Linked DNA regions of Sus scrofa. The protein of the gene in region 3 purifies or fractionates together with the protein of the main gene of each other region. This does not show direct contact. Links are inferred from orthologs where the notes say so. Each region holds a gene or a part of one and is shown on either strand. Other genes may lie near its edges. The genes, in order: C2H19orf25, PDS5B, SLC30A4, FUT8, METTL9 and KIAA1524.

The links.
Region 1: the proteins of SLC30A4 (region 3) and C2H19orf25 purify together in Homo sapiens (affinity purification with mass spectrometry; 3 studies listed by BioGRID and IntAct, counting the BioPlex papers as one, with this or other methods). This does not show direct contact. The link is inferred for Sus scrofa from reciprocal best matches to the Homo sapiens genes SLC30A4 and C19orf25.
Region 2: the proteins of SLC30A4 (region 3) and PDS5B purify together in Homo sapiens (affinity purification with mass spectrometry; 3 studies listed by BioGRID and IntAct, counting the BioPlex papers as one, with this or other methods). This does not show direct contact. The link is inferred for Sus scrofa from reciprocal best matches to the Homo sapiens genes SLC30A4 and PDS5B.
Region 4: the proteins of SLC30A4 (region 3) and FUT8 purify together in Homo sapiens (co-immunoprecipitation; 3 studies listed by BioGRID and IntAct, with this or other methods). This does not show direct contact. The link is inferred for Sus scrofa from reciprocal best matches to the Homo sapiens genes SLC30A4 and FUT8.
Region 5: the proteins of SLC30A4 (region 3) and METTL9 purify together in Homo sapiens (co-immunoprecipitation; 3 studies listed by BioGRID and IntAct, with this or other methods). This does not show direct contact. The link is inferred for Sus scrofa from reciprocal best matches to the Homo sapiens genes SLC30A4 and METTL9.
Region 6: the proteins of SLC30A4 (region 3) and KIAA1524 purify together in Homo sapiens (affinity purification with mass spectrometry; 3 studies listed by BioGRID and IntAct, counting the BioPlex papers as one, with this or other methods). This does not show direct contact. The link is inferred for Sus scrofa from reciprocal best matches to the Homo sapiens genes SLC30A4 and CIP2A.

Annotation. Positions count from the first base shown.
Region 1 is NC_010444.4:76,997,737-77,001,781, forward strand, and holds the start of C2H19orf25 (UPF0449 protein C19orf25 homolog), read left to right. Parts: upstream 1-1,245; 5' UTR 1,246-1,500; coding exon 1,501-1,630; intron 1,631-3,871; coding exon 3,872-4,045.
Region 2 is NC_010453.5:9,203,194-9,206,693, forward strand, and holds part of PDS5B (sister chromatid cohesion protein PDS5 homolog B), read left to right. Parts: intron 1-1,069; coding exon 1,070-1,202; intron 1,203-1,494; coding exon 1,495-1,614; intron 1,615-1,671; exon of another isoform or gene 1,672-2,583; coding exon 2,584-2,646; intron 2,647-3,225; coding exon 3,226-3,371; intron 3,372-3,500. UniProt on the Homo sapiens protein: Regulator of sister chromatid cohesion in mitosis which may stabilize cohesin complex association with chromatin. May couple sister chromatid cohesion during mitosis to DNA replication.
Region 3 is NC_010443.5:126,254,358-126,257,857, reverse strand, and holds part of SLC30A4 (zinc transporter 4), read right to left. Parts: intron 338-3,500; coding exon 184-337; intron 1-183. UniProt on the Homo sapiens protein: Probable proton-coupled zinc ion antiporter mediating zinc import from cytoplasm potentially into the endocytic compartment. Controls zinc deposition in milk.
Region 4 is NC_010449.5:89,394,211-89,398,436, forward strand, and holds the start of FUT8 (alpha-(1,6)-fucosyltransferase), read left to right. Parts: upstream 1-1,426; 5' UTR 1,427-1,575; intron 1,576-1,648; exon of another isoform or gene 1,649-2,782; intron 2,783-4,226. UniProt on the Homo sapiens protein: Catalyzes the addition of fucose in alpha 1-6 linkage to the first GlcNAc residue, next to the peptide chains in N-glycans.
Region 5 is NC_010445.4:23,717,354-23,721,348, reverse strand, and holds the start of METTL9 (methyltransferase-like protein 9 precursor), read left to right. Parts: upstream 1-1,195; 5' UTR 1,196-1,379; coding exon 1,380-1,544; intron 1,545-3,995. UniProt on the Homo sapiens protein: Protein-histidine N-methyltransferase that specifically catalyzes 1-methylhistidine (pros-methylhistidine) methylation of target proteins.
Region 6 is NC_010455.5:150,951,065-150,954,564, forward strand, and holds part of KIAA1524 (protein CIP2A), read left to right. Parts: intron 1-544; coding exon 545-663; intron 664-2,973; coding exon 2,974-3,169; intron 3,170-3,500.

The DNA.
Region 1 (4,045 bases), on a different chromosome or scaffold from region 3:
CCACCCAGCTCTGCCCAGCTCTGGAGTTAGGCCTGAAGTGGTGTCTGGCTCTGCAAATCCAGGCTGCGTGTCCAGAGGCACCTGGCTGCCTTCTCAGAGCCTCCGTAGCCATCCTGTGCAGCAGCATGAAGTCTGGCACCTGCCTCACCAAATACTCTTGAGGGTCAAGAGGTAATTTTCCCACCTGGCACACAGTAAATGCCCAAAACATGCCAGCTTGGGGCAGTCACTTTGGGAAATAGGTCCATAGTCAGTTAAACATAGAGTTACCATATGACCTAACAGTTCTGCTCCTAAGTATGTACCCAAGAAAACTAAAGACACATTCACACAACACTTGTAAGAATGTTCACAGCAGCATGATTCACAGCAGACAAAATATGGAAACAACATTGTTGGATGATGGGCAAACATTATATGGTCCCTTCATGCACAGGAGCATCCCTCAGTCATGAAAGAGAGAGAAGCACCGACACTGGCTGCCATGTGAACGGACCTTGAGACCACGATGCTCAGAGAAAGGCACACTTGTGTGATTCCATGAATGTGATACGCCAAGAACAGACAAATTCATAAACATAGTGGATTGTTAAGGGATGGGGTGATGAGGATGAGGGAATGTTCTGGCTTTAGACTGCGGTGATGGTTGCACAACTTCTCTGTCTTTCTGTCTGTCTCTCTCCTATATATATTCCAAAACCATTGAATTGTACACTTTAAGCAGGTGGACTTTATAGTATGTAAATTATATAAAGCTGTTTAAAAACGCCCTCCTTGGGCTCTGTGGTGGTCTTCAGTCCTAGCCAAGAGGCGGGGGCCAAGATCACCCTCCAGAGCTACGGCCCCACCCAGGTAGGGAGGGGGTTTTAGACAAGGGAGAGGCAACCTTGAGAGGGATCCCGGAGGTTGGCCACCTCGCTGGGAACTGGTGGCCCGCTACGTGGTGAGAGACTGCACCGTAAATTTGTTGCTACGACAGCCACGTAGATTGAGGACTGCGTCTCCCTTTTGCAAAAAACCGGGCTTCAGATGCTTTGTTAGGCAGAGAGAAGAGCCGGGAACAGGACCCTGCGCCCACCCCTCGGGGGAGAGGCTGAAGTCTCATCCTTTCTGGTTCTGGTCCAATCGTTTCTTCGATCGCACCAGAACCCTGGAGGGAGCGGCCTCTTTAAGGGGGCGTGGCTTTCACGAGCCGGGGAGGATCCGGCCGGAAGCGTGTGTCTCTTGCGAGTAGGGTGGGACTGTACCGTGACCGGAAGCGGAAATGGTCGGTCGGCCGCGGAGGCGGTGCAGGTGAGTTGGCGCTGGCGGCAGCAGCCTCAGCGGGAAACTGAGGCTTGAGTGAAGGGGAACGCTGAAGCCCCTGGCTCCGTGTTGTTCAGCCCTTGGGAGGATCAGGGCAGGAAGGGCTTCGCCAGGAGCGGGGAACTGGAGCGTGTGTAGAAATTCGTTGGGCGCGAGGAACAACCCCGTCAACACTTCCTTCTCCGGTCTACCGGGATGAGCTCCAAGACCAAGAAGCGCGTGGTGCTGCCCACCCGCCCGGCGCCCCCTACAGTGGAGCAGATCTTGGAGGACGTGCGGGGGGCCCCTGCCGAGGACCCCGTCTTCACCGCTCTGGCTCCTGAAGGTAGGGGAGAGGCGACCCCGAGAGGCCAGCAGGAAGGGGTGGGGAAAAGTACCTGGCTGCTTTTAAGACAGAAGGGCAGAGTTCAGTATTCAGGACAGAAATTATCTAGCCCTGAAATGCCAAAAATACTTGCATCTGGCCTTTTGCAGAAAAAGTGTGTCCGCCCCTGTTCAGAAGATGGAAGCAGATCCGTGACTTCAGGGTTGGGCATACAGTTGTAGGGTGAATTTTGTGTTCTGCTCTATGAGGTTCATTATTCATTCAACAAACTTTCATTGAGGAGTGACCCCTCGTGGTTCAGCGGTTAACGAACCCAACTAGGATCCATGAGGATGCCGGTTTGATCCTTGGCCTCGTTCAGTGGATTAAGGATCCGGCGTTGCTGTGAGTTGCAGTGTAGGTCGCAGACGCAGCTCGGATCCTGTGTTGCTGTGGCTGTGAGGTAGGAGGGCAGCTGCAGCTCAGATTTGACCCTTAACCTGGGGACTTCCATATGACACGAGTGAGGCCCTTAAAAAAAAAAAAAAAAGCAAAGAAACAAACCTTCATTGAGACCGTATTATGGGCCGGAATCTGTTCTAAGCACTGAGGTGGAAAAACGAACAAAAAGATTAAAGTGTCTGCCTTGCTCCATTCTAGTGGGTATTGACATTCAGTATAAGGCTTGTGGGACTCTAGAAGATGAGAATAGGAGTTCTCGCTGTGGCACAGTGGGATAGGCAGTGTCTCTGCAGTGCCAAGACTCAAGTTTGATCCCTGGCCCAGCACAGCGGGTTAAAGGATTCTGCGTTGCCACAGCTAGGACATAGTAGCATCTGCAGCCTGGATCTGATCCCTGACCTGGGAACTTCCATATGCTACTGGTGTAGCCATTAAAAAAAAGAAAAAAATTCAGTTCTTTGTTACACGTGGCCACATTTCAAGTGCTCAGCAGCCCGCTTGTGCCAGCTGCTGCATTGGATAGCTACATTGGAGGATATTTCCATCACCTGGAATGTTGCGATTGAGAGGCCAGCCCAAGCAACAGGAGCCATGTTTATCCCTGGCTCACAGTTGGGTCATCGGAGGCTGCTTGAATCCCAGCCTTATGAATCACGGGTCCAGGAGTTCACGTCATGGCTCAGCGGTAACAAAGCTGACTAGCATCCATGAGGGTTCGGGTTCGATCCATGGCCTCACTCAGTGGATTAAGGATCCAGCATTGCTGTGATCTGTCCTGTAGGTTGCAGACATGGATGGTTTGGATCCTGTGTTGCTGTGGCTATGGCATAGGTTGACGGCTGCAGCTGCAATTCGACCCCTAGCCTGGGAACTTCCATATGCCACGAGTGCTGCCCTAAAAAAGCAAAAAAAAAAAAAAGGAAAGAAAAAAAAAAGAAATCATGGGTCCAGGTTCCCAGCATCCAGAGGTTGAGGGCATGAGGAATGGGCAGTGCCAGGGCTCACTCTAGGGAGAGGGGGCTTCTCTGCTGGCCTGTGTTCCTGTCAAGGACCATCCTTGGCCTCCATGTGCACTGTCTGGCCTGTCCTACCTTGTTACTAAAGCAGGTGATAAAGTGATTTATTTTTACTTTTTTTAGGGCTGCACCTTTAGCAAATGGACATTCCTGGGTTAGGGATTATATTGGAGTTTGCAGCTGCTGGCCTAGGCCACAGCCACAGTAATGTGGGATCTGAGCAGCATCTGCGACCTACACCACAGCTCACAGCAACGCCGGATCCTTAACCCACTGAGCAAGGCCAGGGATTGAACCCACACCCTCATGGATACTAGTTGGGCTCATTACTGCTATGCCACAATGGGAACTCTAATAAAGTGATTTTTAATCAAATTGCTGTTTCTGGGCCTGTTTATAGACAAGGGGACCAGGCAGAGCAGAGAGGACCTTGACATGTCTCCAAGTGGCCCTGAAATCTGTGCTTTTTTGTGCTCACTGCTCCTCCCCTGGCACACCCTTTAGGAAGCAGAGTCATTGGGAAATATATGTCTGTTCCCTCTTTGCCACCTCCCGACCCCCTGAGTGTCACACACAGCCACGGAGAGCACAGATGAGAGCCAGTCTGCTGTCAGCTTCAGGGTTACCAGAAGCTGGATAGAGCTCACCCCTAGGCAGGGCCGTGGGATGGTGAAGTCAGGCCTCCTCTGTGACTTGTCCCCTCCAGTTCATTGCTTTCTTTGGGGGGTGAATTGGGTCCTCTCTGTGACCTGGGGGCAGTGATGCTGCCTTGTCCTGTCCCCAGATTCCCCAGGCCCCTCTTGGAGGGCTGAAGATGCTGAGGCCCAGCGAGAGCAGCTCTACCAGCAGAGTCGGGACTACGTGGCCACAAACCAGAGGCTGCGTCAGGCGGGGGCCCAGCTGAAGCAGAAGTGTGAGGGGCTGCGGCAAGCCGGCGAGGACCTGGAACTGGATGTCA
Region 2 (3,500 bases), on a different chromosome or scaffold from region 3:
GCTTGGATGTGGAATAGGGGAATATAACATTTTTTAGAGAGGTCCTTATAAGACCAGCAGAGTTCTTTAAGAATGAGACCCTGTTTCTGTTTCAATGAAGGATGAACTTTGTGGCCAGAGTTAAACATTTGAGATGCTTTAAGAGAATAAAATTAAATTACTGATAACTTTCTCATGACAAGAGAAAGGCTTTTACCTTCTTTTTGCCACGGTTTCTATTTTTAAAAAATAAGCAGTTAATTTTCCCAAAATGAATTCTCTGTTGAGTGATTATATCAAAGAAAAGCTTTCTGCTACCCCTCTTTCTCAGAGAACACTGGTTTTTAAAATAGATGAAATATTCTTTGGAATTTACTAGACATTTTTGGCTAGATTTGTACATTGCCCTACTCCAGCCAAGAGTGATCTCCATTCTATCAGAGAACCACTCCAGAAAAACAGCCTCTGCCTGAGGTCTCAAAGGTTATTTTTCCCCCTTCTAGAATAATACATTGTTTCACATTTCCCTTTCCTCTCCATTTTCTCTTCTGTGATATCACTCTGTCCCATTCTATTTATATAATAGTGACAAAGCACTTTAGTTTTTCCAGGTTTAATGTAATTAACTTTAAAACTAAAATATTGAAACTTTATTCTTTTTTCCCCGTTTTAAGCAAAAACAGTATGTAGAGTTGTTCCCTCTAATTTATTGATGAAGATTCTTAACTACTGAGTAAGGAGTTTAGATTTTCTTGATGACTTCCATTCAGGACTACAGTCAGGCTTGAATATCTGAGGCTTCACTTTGTCTGTGCCTTAGTTATTCCTTTAGGCAGGCCTCCCTTCATTCTCTCTACCATTTCTGTTTCTTTTTAACCTGCCTTCTTAGTAAAATTAGTGAAACTTTGAGAGGGGGTCTTATGAACTCATACCCACATTGCTGATATGTATGTGACATACCCCTTTTTCTCTATCGATTTATGGCTATTTGCTTTTAATTTTTTCTGCTCCTGGAGTTCATTATTATATTTTAAATCATTTTATCTGTATTTAATAATGAATTTTTTCTTTCTTCTGGTATTTTTTTTAGATGTCTTTGGTTTGTTCTGGAAATATTAATGGCTAAAAATGAAAATAACAGTCATGCATTTATCAGAAAGATGGTAGAAAATATTAAACAAACAAAAGATGCTCAAGGACCAGATGATGCAAAAATGAATGAAGTATGTAATTTTTTGTCAATAATTATGATTCCATGTCAGTTTTAAACATTGAAGTATAGGGTATGAAACTTCTATGGACGACATCATTCTTTTCTATTAGTAGTAAAAAGTGCATGGTGTTTGTATCAGTAGTAATTAGACTTACTAATATAGAATTACTATAAAATTAGTAGCAATGCTGTTACTAGTAACTAATAATAATAACAGATTAAGCATGTTCCAGAATTACTCCTAATTCACAGAGTCTGGGATGCCAACTTAAGTACCTAAATTTTTTTTAATACCATTGCAGAAACTGTATACTGTGTGTGATGTTGCCATGAATATCATCATGTCAAAAAGCACCACATATAGTTTGGAATCTCCTAAAGACCCAGTACTGCCAGCTCGTTTTTTCACCCAACCTGACAAGGTAGTTTTTTAAGAATTTGTTTGTGTAAGTTGAAATAAAACGTGTTCTCACCCCTAGGTTGTGGGAAGATCAGGAAGGATCAGTATCAAGAGTTGGCCCACTCCTAATGTCATGGAAAGGTCGCGGTGAATCTTAACAGTGTGGTTCAAGACCAGCATAGGGGCCAAACTGGAGGACACAGATAAGCTTCAGAGTTGAATTGGGATGCTCTAGAGTTTGTGTTGCAAGTTTTATGTCAGTCTAAGAGCACAGGCAAAAGTGTGATTAAAGCCTGTAAATATTGGTTAGTGGCCATTGATCTAAAAAGGGAAGGAGAATGCTGGTGTGATTTGAAGTTAATAGGTTCTTGATGGAGATTTGTAACTGGTAGGAGGAAGCAAGCAGAGAACTAGTGCTGGAACAGTCGCAAGACCCTGGAAACACTTCAGGAATGTTCCCAAACCACTCTTGGAAAACTCAAGTATTGTATGATACCAAAAAATGTCTTTTAGAATAGAGATTCATAGTGCATCTAAGCCTATTAAGGGACTGAGAGTAACGAAACAGTCACTACTTACCAGTGCTTACAAATCGGAATGGGCCAGTTAGGTTCACCCAATAAAAGAGACTGTCTGCTTCTGAGCATTCACCTTTCTGTGATGAAGGTAACAGGAGTATATGTGTCCTGTTCCCTGGAGAGCATTATTATAGAAGCATTTGTTTGCTGATATATTCTTGGAACTCTAGTGTGTTAGAGCTCAGATGTGTTGTATTTATACTAGAGTTAGTATGAGGTTAGTTCACACTTATTATAGCATTTAAAATCACCGACTGAAATTTTGTGTTGCAACTGATTTTTTAGTTTAAATAAATATGTATTTTATAACATACTTTAAAACAAAAGCTGCTCTGTGCTTTGTTAGCTTGAATCACCTGATAGAGACAGTGTTTCAGTATTCCTTGACTATGTCTTTTTTCCCTTGCTCGTAGAACTTCAGTAACACCAAAAATTATCTGCCTCCAGAAATGAAATCGTTTTTTACTCCTGGAAAAGTATGTTTTGAAAATTGTTTTAATTTTTATGTGGTAGTTTTTTTTAGTGTGGCTGTTAACATAATGATATTGTTTTGCATTTCTTTAAAAATTGGTGTGTCAAAAGAAAATAGAAGTATTAGATATCCTCCATTTACTAAGAAGAAATATTTTCTATATAGATGCAAACTGAGATACAGAACTTACTTTTTACCTTACAATAAAACCCTGGAGACCGTGATTCTTAAATATCCTGTAATATTAAGATAAAAATATTAAAGTAAAAATACCTTATGTCCTTCCTTTGTAGCAAGAGTCTGTGATTACCAGTTTTCATTGTTGACTGTGCATTTTATTTGTCCTTACTTTCTATGTAAACCTTTTCCTGCACATAACTAAGAAACTTAACTGTTACTCTGTTTATATAGTTTATTTGTTCAGGTGATATTCAATCTATAATCCTTATTTTGCTTAAGAGTAGGCAGATTTTTCATGGATTTGTATATGTAAATTCTTTGACAGATGTTATTTATGATTCTTTGTATCTAAATTTCTTTTGGTTCTAATCAAATAGAAAGAGATATGCATTTTTCATTTCAGCCTAAAACAACCAATGTTCTAGGAGCTGTTAATAAGCCGCTTTCATCAGCAGGCAAACAATCTCAGACAAAATCATCACGAATGGAAACTGTAAGCAATGCAAGCAGCAGCTCAAATCCAAGCTCTCCTGGAAGAATAAAAGGGAGGTGAGTACATAAGAAATATTATACTTTATATTTAAGGATTACACCAAAGCTCTGATCTCTAAAGTAACGTAACTCAAAACATTTCATGTCAGTGAATAAAAATCGATGCCTACCTGAACATTCTGGTTT
Region 3 (3,500 bases):
CATCTGTAATAACTGTGCCACTCTGGTGAGGGATGTTGACAATGGAAAGGCTATGCATGTGTGGGGGTAGGGTATGTACAGGAAATCTCTATATCTTCTGCTTAGCTTAGCTATGAACCTAAATCTCCTGTTAAAATTACAAAGCCCATTAAAAACATTTTTTTTAAACAAAATAGAGCTTACATCACATTAACTGCAACTCCAACAGCTGCGGTAATGAGCATTATATCTCCATTTATTTCATATTTCATATGGATAGTTCTTTGGACAGCTTCATATAGGAGGAATCCCATAAGTATATACACCAATAGCACACTAATCATAGCTGACAAGACCTCTGGAGGGAAAAATATAAAAAAAAAATATTTGTAGCATGGTTATTTCATACATACTAAATACTGTACAATTTCTTATTTATATCTTCTTTCCTCTAAGGAGATAAAAGTGCTATGTTATTTTTGTCATGTTATTTTTCTTATTTGAAAAGTGTTCAGTAGTTTGATTTGGATCTTTCACCCCACCACTGCCTACCTTCTCCTTATGTCTTTAGGGTCAAATTATATATATTTCCAGACCATACACTTGGTTAAAAAAAAAAACAAACCTGAAAAACTAAGGAAAAAAATTTGTAGCATACCTGAATGACCACAGACTAATTTGTAAGTGTAAAACCAATAAAAAAGTGAACAATGGGTAGAGGACACAAATACTAATACAAAGAAAATATGCAGAAAGGACCAATTTATGGAAATCAACCATAATACAAGAAATTCAAATAAGAATTCTCTTGCCCCTTACTAAATTGGCAAAGATTAAAAAGTTTGATAACAGCCAGAGTTAGCAAGGATATACTGGTGGAAGTATCAAATAGGCTATATTTTTGGAGAGCAGTTTGTAAAATTAATAAAAATTTAAAATGCATATATTCCTTAACTCTAGGAATCAATCCAATAGAAACACATCCATATGAATGCAAAGCCATCTATAAGGTTTTTCATTGTAGCTCTGTCTATAGGTATCCAAAAAGATCTGGAGGAGTGCCCATCCTGGCTCAGTGGTAACGAACCTGACTAGGATCCATGAGGATGCAGGTTCAATCCCTGGCCTTGCTCAGTGGGTTAAGGATCTGGCACTGCCATGAGCTGTGGTGTAGGTCACAGATGTGGCTTGGATCTGGCATGGCTGTGGCTATGGTTGGCAGCTATAATTCGAATTCGACCCCTAGCCTGGGAAATTCCATGTGCTGTGGGTGTGGCCCTGAAAAGCAAAGAAAAAAAAAAAGATCTGGAGACATCCTAAATGTCTACCAATGAGGAACTTAATGGCTAAATTATGGTATGCGCTTATAATGAGATATCATATAGTCATTTATATTTTTTTAAAAGAGGAAAAACAATCAGGCATATTGATAATCTAATCACAAGAAAGACAGATAAGAAAGTGTCATACCTGGGAAGTGAGACTAAGAGTTTAGGAAATTTATTTTTCACTTTATTCTTTCTGGTAATATTTGAAAAGTTTTAAGTTTTTATTATAAACTCATTTACCTTTAGAATAAAGAAAAACACATTCTTTTTAAGGCATGTAAGTATTCATGAATGCACTTCGACTCAGAAATTTTTCTTCCAGGAATGATATACACACTCATGCCAATTAAGTTGCATATTTACAAAATGCGGTATGTTCTGAAGCTATTCCTCAAGCATTGTATATACAGCAAACAACTGAAAACAACTGAAGTGATTAGTAGGGGCCTTGTAACATGGAATACCATGCAGCTATAAAAAATTAGGCTCTTTATGTTAATGATATGGAATAATCTCCAAAATACAGTGTTATGTGAAAAAAGAAAAGCACACAACAATATACATGGTATATTAGCATTTATGAGAAAAGAAGTAAGAGAATATATAATGGTCTATACATGCAAACTCTGGAAGAATATACAAAATACTGATAAAAACTGATTATTAGGAGAATGGGTGGCTAGGACACAGGAATGACTTTGCACTATATATTCTTTTACATCATGTGAATTTTCTACTTTGCAAGTATAAAGTAGAATAATTTTATATCTTTTCAAAATAACAGAAATAGGGCAATGTAAAGTATATTTTAAAATAATTAACATTATTATATAAAACTAGTATTGACAAAACAATAACAGCAAGAAAATAGATAATTTTTTTTCTTTAAAGAAACTAGATATTAAAGCTTTAAGTGTTAAAAGTTAAAACAGTCCGGGAAATTGTTATCTGGGTCAACTTATTGCTCAAAGGTTGGGGCAATTCAAGTATATTGGACTTTGATACATTTTTATTCCAGCTCATAAATTATAACAGAAAAATCATCTAGCAGAAATAAGCTGTTTCCTGAAGATGTTAATGTAGCCAAAACTCTAATAAAATTCTGAACATCAACAAAATAAATGTTAGAATAAGACCAAAAAACACAACTACTATTCAAAACCATGATTCATCTATTCCTGACATACTAATTATCATACTTTGAAGGAGACATAGGACTGAAGAAAACAGAAAAAAAAAACTGAAATACACAAAGTCCAGACTCTTAAGCCCCTTGAGAGTATGACCACATTAGATTCTACACCATGTTTACTGTAGCACTCACCAGAAAGACTGACATGTTGCATATACTCACATAGCTATGGATGAATCTGTAGAATGAAGTTAGGCTGAGCAAGGGAAGATAAATGGCTATATATATAATTAAAGAAAGTTAAGCTAAATGTGAACAATAGATTATTAACCAAATCCCCCAAAATAGGAAGAGGTTAAAAGAGAAGAATTAAGCCAAATATAAACCAAAAACACATGGTTTTGTCTTAAGTTATAACCACTGATGGCAAAATACACACATATAAATAAATACATAAATTAAAAATTTTTGAACTGGAAAATCTCATATACTAATGATAGACTCTTCATTTTACTCATGAAGAAAGATAAATTTAATTCTCTTTAATATTGATGTTTAAAAAATATCAATCCTTCTCAAACTGTTAAAAAATAATTTTTTTTTTTTGTCTTTGTAGGGCCACACCCGCGGCATACGGAGGTTCCCGGGCTAGGGGTCTAATCGGAGCTACAGCTGCTGGCCTACACCACAGCCACAGCACAGCAACGCCAGATCTGAGCCATGTCTATGACCTACACCACAGCTCACGGCAATGCCGGATCCTTAACCCACTGAGCGAGGCCAGGGATTGAACCCTCAACCTCATGGTTCCTAGTCGGATTTGTTTCCGCTGCGCCACGAAGGGAACTCCTAAAAAAAAATTTTAATCATCAAGGCTTAATCGTCAAGGCTGAAGCTAGCTAGCAATAGTTTTAAAGATGCCTTAATCAAATTTTAAATATGAAATTATAAAGCAATACACTTTATAAAGAGTAACAGCTATGCAACTTAATGACATTGAGATGTCATTGCTTATGAAAATCTAAAACCAATAATTAAAAAATTCTTTCAAAATTCCCTGT
Region 4 (4,226 bases), on a different chromosome or scaffold from region 3:
AACAGTGTTCTGTCAGAGGCTGAGACACACACTGACTCAACACAATCTGCATTGCTGCAGAATTGGTTTTTGAGTGTATTTTAGAGATATCAAAGTTACTTGATATTTTGATATATATTATACTTCCCTATAAAAGCACACTAAATTCTGGACATTCTTCGGACAGATTTTTTTTTTTTTTTTTTTTTTTTTTAGCAGAAGGAGGAAGAGAATATATTTCAATCCCTAGGTTTTTGGAAAGGAAAAATGAAGGCCACATAAAAAAACCCAGACATTTTGAGGCAAATGTAAAGTAAAGCTTTGAAATTGGACATCTTAAAAGTATTATACAAGGTAAGCTTTTTTTGGGGGGAGGGGGCGGGAGGTGGTGCACCTACAGTGTATGGAAGTTCCCAGACTAGGGGTGGATTAGGAGCTTCAAGCTGCTTCTGCGACACACACCGCAGCTCATGGCAACCCAGGATCCTTAACCCGCTGAGCAGGGCCAGGGATCCAACCCGCATCCCTACAGATACTAGTCGAATTCTTTTCTGCTGAGTCACATGCTTGCTAAAATATTTTATAAAGTGCCTTTTAAACTAAAAACTAAGTATCCATCTCATCTCTATGACTTCTAAAAATTACTTACAGTTTTATAAGACTTTGGCCTTTATTTACTATGGCATAAGCCCCAAATTTTTGTTCATTTCCAAGAACTAAACTTTGTGGCCCTTATTGCAGAATTTTGTTGACTTTATAAGCTTAGTGCAGAAAACTCCTCCGTGGAGGATAGCAACCATGCATTCGATAAATGACTGTTATAAATGATTGCACCCAAACTCTGAGGTGGTTTTGTGTGACCTTGGATAAGTCACTCTACTTTTCTCTCAAATTTCTTTTCTTACAGGGAGTTAATCATAGGAATGGCCATAAACGCCTACTTCGAGGGCGCTTTTCCTTTAAAGGGTTGATGATAAATACCAGTCACAAGGTCCAGCAGAAGAGACAGCTTCTTGAGGACAGGGAACTTTTTTCCTTCTTTGAATCAGCAGTATCTTATTGTACTTCTGTAATACAGTTCCTGGCCCATAAAGAGGTGTCAGTAAATATTGTAAATTTATGAACGTTATTAGGCAGATTGCAGTTTTGGCAGGCCACTGTTCTTAAATCTCTTTTCAGTGATCCTTTCATAGTCGGCATCCAAAGGGCCTTCGCTCTTTGCTCTGTGATATGTACTTAAGGCATTTACTTAAAAATACTCAAGTCTAAACAAATAATTCTTCTGTCTTTAGGGCACCATTTCACTTTCCCGAGGTATAGCACCCTAGGCTTGGGATCTGGGTCCGGAGGCTACAAGGAAGAGTTCGGTACGGGAAGCTCATCCTCCTGCCCTATGATTGGTCGGCTCCCACTCCACTCACGCGGCTCTCGTCTCTGATTGGCCATTGTGGCACCCCCTTTCAGCCCGCGACTACTTTGTGTGCCCCGGCGGCGCGAAGGTCCTCCGGCTCAGCTTGCCATTTGGGCTGGTCTGGGCTAGCTCTTCGGCCCACTGCTTTGCATCGCGGGCGCCAGGAATTTCCCGAGTCCGAGCGGGTAGGAAGCATCCTAGGGAAAAGCTCCCTCCCCCGCCCCATGTTCTCTTTCCCGTAACTTCCGCCTCAGAGGGGCTGTCGCAGCCGCCGGTGGGGGGGAGAGGCCAGGCACTGAACTCAGCCCTTAAGGGGGGGGCGCTGTTTTTCAGCCGGGCGAGTGTGGAAACACAGCTCTCATAGGATAAAACAGGGCTTCACTAGTCGAATGCGGGTACGATGCTATTCTAAGATCATGCTGCACGCTGCAGTGGAGCGGCCAGACCTGGGCTGCAGGCATGGGCTGAGCAGCAGCAATCACTCCTAAAAAGTAGCAAGCAGACTGCTCCTGATACCAGTGCTCTTTAGGGCCGCGGGCTGAATTGGCACGGGCTGGTCCTTTCCCCAGCGGTCGAGAATACGGCATTGCCGGAGGTGGAGCTTCAGGGAATGGAGAGTCCGGCTCCACTCGCGCCCCCTTCAGCCTCCGGCCTTCGGGCGGTAGAGGGCGGCCTACGCTTGTGTGGGAGCCAGCGCCTGAGCGCGCAGCCGCTGCCCGGCTGGATGTCTCCGGGTCCCGCTGTGGCTCAGGGCTCAGCTGGGTGGTGGATGCTGCGGTTACGCGACCAGAAGGGGGCGGGGAGAAGCCCTGGCACATGCTGGGGTCGCCGTAGGTGGCAGCGGCCGGCGCATGCGCGCCTCCTCCCAGAAGCCTGGAACGCTGAGGGGCGCGCGCCCCCATTCGCGCGCGCACGCTTGCGCTAGCTGAAGCTTCCCTTCCTGCGCTCCTTGTCAGAGCGGCTCTGGCGCGTGCGCGTGTTATCTCTGGACAACCAGAGTAGCCAGGTTCCCTCCGCTCCAGGCCCCCGCCCCCCGCCGCCCTCTCCCAGCCCCCGACCGACCCGTCCCCTTATTCTCTTCCCGGAATGGGGCCGGCGCTGCTCTGGGTCGCGCGCCCGGGACCCGGTTCGCTCTCGGTCTTTCGCTGTCAGCTACTGCCTGGCTCGCGCCGCCTCGCGCTCTCCCTCAGTCAGTGGCGCCGAAGGCTCCGTTAAGCAGTGGCAGCGGCGGTTCCTGTTTCCGTTTCTTCCTCTCCCTTCAGTAGGGAGTAGCATCCTCCACCCAGCCACCCCTCCCACTCCCCCAGCTCTGGGCAGCTGCGGCTGAGGGCTGTGGCGGCGGCGGCGGCGGCGACTGGGAAACGGCGGAGACCGCCTCTGCTCCCGCCTCGGGTAAGGGGGCGTTTGGGAGCCGGGCCCCGAGCTACTCGGGGTCTGGGGCTGGGCAAGCGCGGGATCTCGGGAGGCTCGGGGAGGTGCCTCTCCCCGCTGTCGCTGCCCCTTTCCCCCCAGGCGACCCCCAGGCCTGTTGCCGCCACTGCTGCTGCTTATCCAGCGGTTCCTGGAAAAGTGGGGAGGGAGCCCCCGGGACGCTCTGGGGGGTCCCTTTGCCGGCCCAGGGGTGGGTGCGGGCTGGGGACTAGGGGTGCCCGCCGCCCGGGTCGGGACTTGGAGCGGCACGGCCGCTGCCCTCTGTGTCGCGCATCCTTGGTTAGGGTAGGAGCCAGAGCGGAGGAGAGAAGAGATGGGGGCGGGGGTGGGAGGTGTCCGTCTTCTCTCCACACCTACCTGCCCTTTCTCCTGCAAGTCGCTTCCTGTAGTCACAGACTGTGGGGAGGAGCATGTTTGTGCGTTAGGGGCTTTCTGAGGGGTTCTCCGGCTGGAAATGGGGGAGTGGACCCGGGCAAAGATCCGCTCCCGGCGAGGGGCCGGTGCCAGGGCAGTTCACGGTGTGAGTGCCGCTGCACCCTCATTTGATGTGGAAATGATGAGCTGGCGGCTTTTGAGTATCTAAACTTATTTAGGTTAAATGAGTCCATATTTATTTGTTAAAGGAGGTTTGTCCTGCCCGAGTGAGTGGGCTGACGAGTGCAGTACCTGTTTTTCACTCACAGTGGGGATTTGCAATCTTCAACACACAGAATGCCAGAGACGCAGTGTATTTCTTAAGTTAAATGGCAGTGTCATGGTTAGAGTTTATCCCCGGTGAGCTTTAGCGTTTTGGTGTATATTGGAGTTCTGACTGAGGCCTTGGGTAGAGGCAGGGGAGGTATTGTTTCTTCTTCCCATGTTTGAATTACAGTTGACTTAAGCCACCTCAAAGTGGACCTGGGAAAGCCAGGATCTCCTGTATAAACCCCAGATCTCAAGGTAACACCAACCAAATTTCGACAAAAGTTTTCCATCAGTTTACAGTTAAATTCATCACAAGTAACTGATTGAACTTTGGCTTGGCTCTCCTTAAAAACTGCAGGCAAGGTTTAATTACAGTTTTTCTCCCCCTTGTTATTCTTGGGCTTAAAGATGTATTTATTTTCTTGATTAAATTTGCTTTTATGCATAGTTCTTTAAAGGGTGCATCATACAGAAAACATTTAGGAGAGAAAATTTCAGCACTGTAGAGTTATTATTGAAATAATGGAGTAAATTATGTTCCTTCTTTTTAAAAATAAAGTTAACCTAAAATCCTAGGCTGTATAATAAGGCTCTGTACATTGCTAGCCTTGTGATATGTACCACAAAAAGTGTATAGAAAGTCTTAATTACTTGATTTATAAACACTACAGTAAAGTAGTAAGGATGAGATGGGAATTCAGACATTTGGAACTATGATTTT
Region 5 (3,995 bases), on a different chromosome or scaffold from region 3:
CTGAGTCTCAGAAGCCAATAAAAATGTCTGTGGGTAAGGGACAGTTTTTTCCCTCATCAGTGGATCACCACAGCCACTGTTAAAAGACAATCTCTGAAGTTCACTAATGGAGTTACCAGAAAGGTCTATTGCTTTTGTTTGAACGAAGATAAAGTGTATTTACATGATTTCTAGTGCAGTTAAATTAAAAGCATTTTCTAAACGAACCTAGAAAGGTGTTAAAGCGAGAGGGCCCATGAAATAGGTCACTCACTTGTAGCTTAGGTGGCAGCAGGAAGAACTTCAGACACAGGAACACAGTGTAACCCTTCAGTTTTGAAACGTTGCTAGGTCTTCCCGTGCTATAAATGATCAAAGAAACATCTGGGTAAATATTGCTCCTAAAGCTTAGCTGGCTTTAAGGAGTGTTGGGTCTGACTTCCGTTAGTTCAAGGAAACAAGCATCCAGGGACTCTTAATTTGGGGTCTTCGTTCTTGGACAGAGTCATTAACACACCAAAATATTACGTGCAGGTGTCCCAGCTGCAGGAACTTCCAACAAAGGCAGAGCTTTCGCTGATGCCTCTTAGGAACAGTAGCCAGCAACTTGCCAGGCCTGGGGGACTGGGCGGGGAGGTGGTGAAGGGTTGGAGGTAGCCCTTCCCCTCTAGATGCCCATTCGCTTGGCAGGGTGGAGATCCTGGGGGTGGGGGCCTGGCTGGTCGGCTCTAAATGTAAATAGGAAGCCACGCAACTGAGCCAGAAATAGTTACGAACTGACAGTCTCCGTCTCTGGCGAATACTTGGTCCGAGTGTCTGAATATACGAAAGGGAGGAGGCTCGCCGCCTGGGTCAATCTGCACAACCAGGTGAAAGACCCGCAGGGGGCTGGATGAGGGGCTCAGAGCAAAGACTCAGGGGAGGAAAGGCCAGAAGAACTACGGACACTACCTTGGAGGGATGGGGAGGCCTCAGTTACCGCCTTTGGAAACGATCTCCCCTGGCCTAAACATATTAAAACCGTTTCCGCCATTACAAGCCGACACCAGACGGGAGGCGGGAGCGCGCTCCCTTTGTCCCGCCTCCCGGGCGGACAGCCCATGGGGCGGAGGGAGCGTGCTCCGGAGGGGGCGCGCCGCAGCAGCGCGTACGTGGTCCGTGTGGAAACTGGCGCCCGCGGCGGCGGCGTTCCGCGGGCGGAGAGGAAGGGGGAGGCGAGAAGGCTGCGCACCGCCCGCTCTTCCCCACCCCCGCCCCCCGCCTCGGCCCTAAAAGGGGCTGGATGGGCAAGTTGGGCGCGATGGCTCGAGCCCGGGCAGCGGCAGCTGCGGCTGGAGGCGGCGGCACGTCCTCCTCGCCCCGGCGCCGGCGGTGATCGGAGCGAGCGGCCGCGGCCCCCGATGAGACTGTTCGTGGGCTGGCTGTGCCTGAGCCTGGCGTCCGTGTGGCTGGCGAGGAGGATGTGGACGCTGCGGAGCCCTCTCACCCGCTCCCTGTACGTGAACATGACGAGCGGCCCGGGCGGGCCGGCGGCGGCCGCGGGTGGCAGGAAGGACAACCACCAGGTACGCGGCCGAACCCGGGCCCGGCGGGGCGGGGGCGTGGCGGCCGGCCTTCCCGCGCTCGGCCGGGCTATTGTGCCGGGCGTCGTGGCGAAGGGGCCCCCGGGCCTCGCCCCAGCGCCCCACAAAGTTTCCCCCGCGTCTTCCCCGCCGGACGCCGGGTCCAGGCCCAGCGGTGCCTTTTGTTCCGCGGCGCGGCGGACGACGGCCTCCCGGGTCCCTCCCCCGCCCAGGCATGGGCGCCCCGGAACCCCACATTGTTCCCGGGTCCCGGGCAGTGATTGCAGGCGCTCGGCCACCTCGGCGTCGGCTCCCCGGAGCGGGACCGAGGAACTTTCGGGCCAGCGCGTGGTGACGGGGACCCACCTGGCACCGGGGCCTGAGATCTAAATAACCGGATCAAACCCATTACCCCGGACGGCCTTCATTACCCCTGAGAATCCAACCGAAAAGCCGGTCCCTCTTTTTGTCTGGTTGAATCTCTGAACGTACAAAGGGTCATAAAGAAATGTAACCGTGCGTCGTGAGCCATTTAACTCTCTGGCTCCTTCGGGTGACATTTTCCCTCTGCCTTTAAAAAAATGCGTTTGACAGGTCGTCGTCACTCTTGTCCTATGGAACCTTCCCTAAGGGAGATCTCCTTTAAACTTGGGTGTTGGTGTCTGACTGGCGAGATGCGATAGGAACGAAGATGGTGCGAGCATTTACTAGAAGGGTTTTGTTAAAAGAGAACTGGGCAAGAGTGTTTTTGTTTTTTGTTTTTTTTTAATGAGTTATGGTTCTGGATCGTGGAATGATGCGATGTGGCCGGCTGGGTAGTCTTCATTAGCTTAGGTTTGTGCCACTGAAGCCTGTGGAGGTCCTATCTGACCATAATGTCGTTTGCGGTTAACATTTCATTCATTGAAAAGAGGCTTTTGAACTCTGCCAGAGTGTTGGCATATCATAGCCAACATTTATAGTACATGTTGGCTTCTCAGAGAGCAGTAGCTAATTATTCCATCTTGTGTCTCATCATTTTCATAGCTTTCTCGTTTTCCTGTGTTACTTTTCTTAATATACCAGGTGTTCAGAGAGCAACACCCAGGTTGTTTTGATGTGTTTTCATGAAACTAGAGAATGATCTTAGGAGACAGAGCAATTCATTCAGAAAAATAGTATCTAGTTTTTATTTATTAAATATTTATGGTGGCTCTTTTTCTATTTTTAAAGGAAAACATACTTTTTTTTTCTTCTTCTTTTGTAATCCCACAGCTCTTGTACTTTGTTAGGTAATCACTCCTATGATATTGTTCGGAGTGTCCTTAAAGTTAGTAGGTGATCTTAACTTGTAAAACCACATTCTTGGCTATAGAGTAATTAGTCATTTTTAGAGTTGGGCTATACTGACACTGTAGTTAACCAAAATGTCCCATATCCATAAGGAACATGGATAATGGTGTAAAATAATAAATAGAAATGTCATTTCCAACAGTCGATGGACCTAAGGTTCTGGGTAGGATGAAAAGAAGACCTTTCCATTGATATGGAATTACGGTCAAATCTTTTGGCTGTAGGCGTTTATTACAACACTTGTGATTATCTCTATTGCAGTACACCTGATACTTTCAGTGCTCAAAAAAGAAATGGACTAATTTAAAAACTGAGAAACTAAGGAACCTGATTTTTGTGGATCCTAGGTAGAATTATAGCTGTTGACATAGCCTCAGAATATCCTCTAACAGATGATACTTTTTTTGTTTGTTTTTAAAGTTTTACTGAAGTATAGTTGATTTACAAGGTAGTGATAATTTCTGCTATACAACAGAATGATTCAGTTATACATATACACACATCCATTCTGTTTCAGATTCTTTTTCCACATAGGTGATCACAGAATATTGGGTAGAGTTCCCTATGCTATACAGCAGGTCCCTGTCGGCCAATCATTCCGTGTACCTCAGTACATGGAATATGTATATGGCATTGGCATGTAATTGGCATATGCCAGTCCCCCACCCCCAGTCCATCCCTCCTTTCCCACTACTTGTCCCCTTTGGTAACCATTAGTTTTTCAAAGTCTGTGACTCTTTCGCAAATAAGTTCATTTGTATCTTTTTGTTTTGTTTTGTTTTGTTTTTTAGGTTCCGCATATAAGTGATATCATCTGATGTTTGTAGAGGATACTTTGTAATTGTGTATCTTTTTAAAGCGGAATCTGTCAGCTTCTAAGGAATACTAATACTGCTTGCAGATACCTCATTTACTTCCTTATGCTTCTAAGATATTCAAATGTGTGTATGTTTTAACCAGTTGCACTTCATTATTTAGCAGCTAATTTCTCCAAAGTGAAAACTAATCTGGTGCTTTCTGAATATTGGGAGGTGGTGGGGGACATTGGCCTTTTTCCTTCGAATAATCAACCCAGACATTGTTTTGCGTTGATATGTTCACATTATGGCAGTGTTGTCCATG
Region 6 (3,500 bases), on a different chromosome or scaffold from region 3:
TCAATAATTTTTTTTTTCAGAATAGATGATTTGGGCCTAAGTACTAATGTAAAATACTTACTGACATGAAGGAGTTATACTTTAAGTATAGTTGTTTCATTCACTACATTAAAATTTTTTATTGAATTAATTTGAATTTTACCTTTTTTTAACTTTAATTTGGAAATGACTAGCCATTTTTATAGCCCAATTTTCTTTTAAATGGTAGCTAGAAAAATAAAACAATAATTCAGAACATCAGTCAGTTGTGAATGCTGTTTAATCAAGTATTAAATATTAATTTAATCAAAAATATTTGACATGCATTTAGTAGGCACCAAAAGCATTCAAAAATCTTTGCCAGATTTTTTAAGCTAACATTAATATTGATTTTATAGATAATTGTAATGAAGTAAAGGCTAGTAAATATGTTCAAACATCAGGTAGAAAGACTTTAGAACTTGCCTAGAATTATGTAATGATTTAGATCTGTTTACTCACCTTACTCTAAAAGACCTAACATTATCCTTTCTGCTTTTTATTTTTTGGTTTCTGATTTGCTTAGGATCCTCGCCTGATTACTCCTTTGGCTTTTGCTTTAACATCAGATAATAGAGAACAAGTACAGTCTGGATTGGGAATATTATTGGAAGCTGCTCCACTGCCAGATTTTCCGGCCTTAGTGTGAGTTATAGTCAGTGGCAATGTATCTCTTGTGGTGCTGGAGTGTTTGCTGTGTTTCCCTAATAGTCTTCAGCAGAGAGAGATTGGAAAATCAGTGAATTGAAGACTTCATTGTAATAATAATTTTTCAAGTGAAAAAAAATTTCAATTTAAAAAGTTTGATTCCAACAACTCAAAAGACCACATGTAAAGTCTTTTAGGGAATAGCTAGATCCATCCAAGTGATTAAATATGTTATCCAGATGTTACACCTCTCTGTCTGAACACCTCTCTTATTGTTGTAGCTTCCAGACTAATCGTAATCCTGCCAGTTTAGTTTCTCCATAGAAAGTGCTTTTCTTTCCCAATTGTTTAAGTGATAAGTCTAGTGATAAGTCTAGCATCATTCCCATTGACCAGATCTGGGTCATTTGCCAAGGAAGGGATTCCTAAAGAAAATGTTCTTATTATCTGAAGGTGGAATAAATAATAGTCAAGCAGAATTGTCTGCTATACTCATTTTCAAACATTAAGAAAATATTTGCAGTTAGGTTTGAAAAAAATTCAGATTTGGAGCTCTCTGTAAACTGAAAGGTTGACAAAATGTCTAGTAGTGTTCCGCTCTAATTTTAATAAGATTAGGTGGTTTATATAAATGAAATTGCAAAGGTGGTTTGAATGAATTGAGACAGTTGGTAAGTCAGTAAGACATTTGTTCATGTCAGGTCAGCAAACTCTAGACAGCAGACAGGAGCTTGTTTTTGTAAATAAAATTTTATTGGAACAAAACCATACCCATTCATTTATTTTCTTTTTCTTTTTTTTGAAGGGAGTGTGAATGTGTTTTTTTAATGATTTTTATTTTCTCCATTATAGCTGGTTTACAGTGTTCTGGCAATTTCTACTGTACAGCAAAGTGACCCAGTCATACATATATATGTATTCTTTTTCTCACACTATCCCCATTTCATTTTGTCTGTATTGTGTATGTTTACATTCATGCTACAACATTAGGGCTGGTTAGTCGTAACAAAGACTATGGACCCTCAAGCCTAAAATACTTAACTGCCCTGTCCTTTAAGAAAAAGTTTGCCAATCTTTGCTACTTCTATTAACTGAGCAGACTCATTTAAGTAATCATAAATTAAGGGATGAAGAACTGTGGAAAACATGACCTAGAGACCATGAATTGCAATTCCCTTCATTTTATCATATTTTTTAACAAGCGAATGGACAAATAGTGTGTTTCTCAAAGCAAAATAGGAGTCTGTGAAGCTGTTTCATTTTGTGGTAGCTTGCTTGCATCTACTGTGGAAATCTGACATGAAGCAAAATCCCCAGGTGTCAGAGTGGAAAGCTTCAGCTTTGCTGAAGTGGGAGTCTTATCATGTGTCTCTCTGTCTTTGCCATCCCCTCCCCATCATAACTTGTGTTGTGTTATTTTCTCTTTGCACACTATCTCAGATATCCATTTATGTCTATTATGTCCATTTATGCCTCAGTTTATATTATCCTAGTTTAATAATGTGAATTTATATACTGGATGGGTGGGTAGGTAGGTGCATAGCTAGGTTTATTTTGGAGTTTGTTTTTTAAACATTTAACAAATGTTTAAATAACTGGTGAGTCCCAGCTATGTGCCAGGCTCTCTTCTAGGCATTTTGAATATTGCAGTAAATTAGACAGGCGGCCTTCTGTCATGAGATTTGCATTCTAGTTGAGAGACAGGTTTTTTAAAAAATAAGGTTTATAATGCACTTGTTACTAGGGTTGGAAGGCCCTGAGGAAGTGAATCTAAACTGAGACTTGATGATAAGGATTATGCTATGCAGATTTAGAGGGAAGAGTGTTCTAGGCAAATGAACAACTTGTACAAAGGCCCTGAGGCAGAAACAAGATGGTAAAAATGAAGGTCAGGTTGGTGAGACCATCCTGAGTGAGAAAAGAAAAGGGTGAAAGAAAAGGTCAGACCAAGTGATGTTGCCCATGGTAAGAAAGACACCAATAACTTTGTATTTAATTTTTTTATAAATAATCTACCCTCATAAACTAGTTCTAGTGCCTCCAAACCAGAGGTGGAATTGTCATTGTAAAGGGTTGTTAGTACAAAAGAGTTTCCTCTGGCAAATTTAGGATATTTCCCCAAATCCTGCTTCATCATAGATTCCAAGATTATTTCAGAAATATTTGAAGACTTATATTCCCAAAAAAGACCCATTCTAAATTATGGGTCCCATCATTAGTTAGTCCCTGTACTAACTCTGCCTTTTGCTCTATTTTTATATAATTATTTCTCTCTCTCTTTTTTTTTTGATTTTAATTCCAATTCAGACTTGGAGAAAGTATAGCAGCAAACAATGCCTATAGGCAACAGGAAACAGAACATATGCCCAGAAGAATGCCTTTGCAATCATTAAATCACAGTTTTCCAGCATCAGTAAAATGTTTAACTCCTCCAGTTTTGAAAGATAGAGTTCCTGGATTGAACATTGAGGAATTAATAGAGAAACTTCAGTCTGGAGTTGTGGTGAGTGATAGATAGCCATTATAAATGAGATTCTGCCTGGTACATACCAACTAAATATCAGCCCTTATTATAACATTTATTTAAATAAATTTAGATGCAGATTTGATCACTGAAACTTGATCTTTTAATATCAAAAGTAACAATATTCTGTAAAGTTTGAAAAGAGCAAAAAAATCTATCATAAAATTCCAACATTTTAACATAGCAATCCATCTTCCAAGCCTATGCTCCCACCACCATCGCATGGCCCCCAGCTTAAAAAATATACTTTCAAATTCCCACAGACATGTTAGATCTTACCCAAATCTTCTTGTGCAATAGCCAGGTTAGT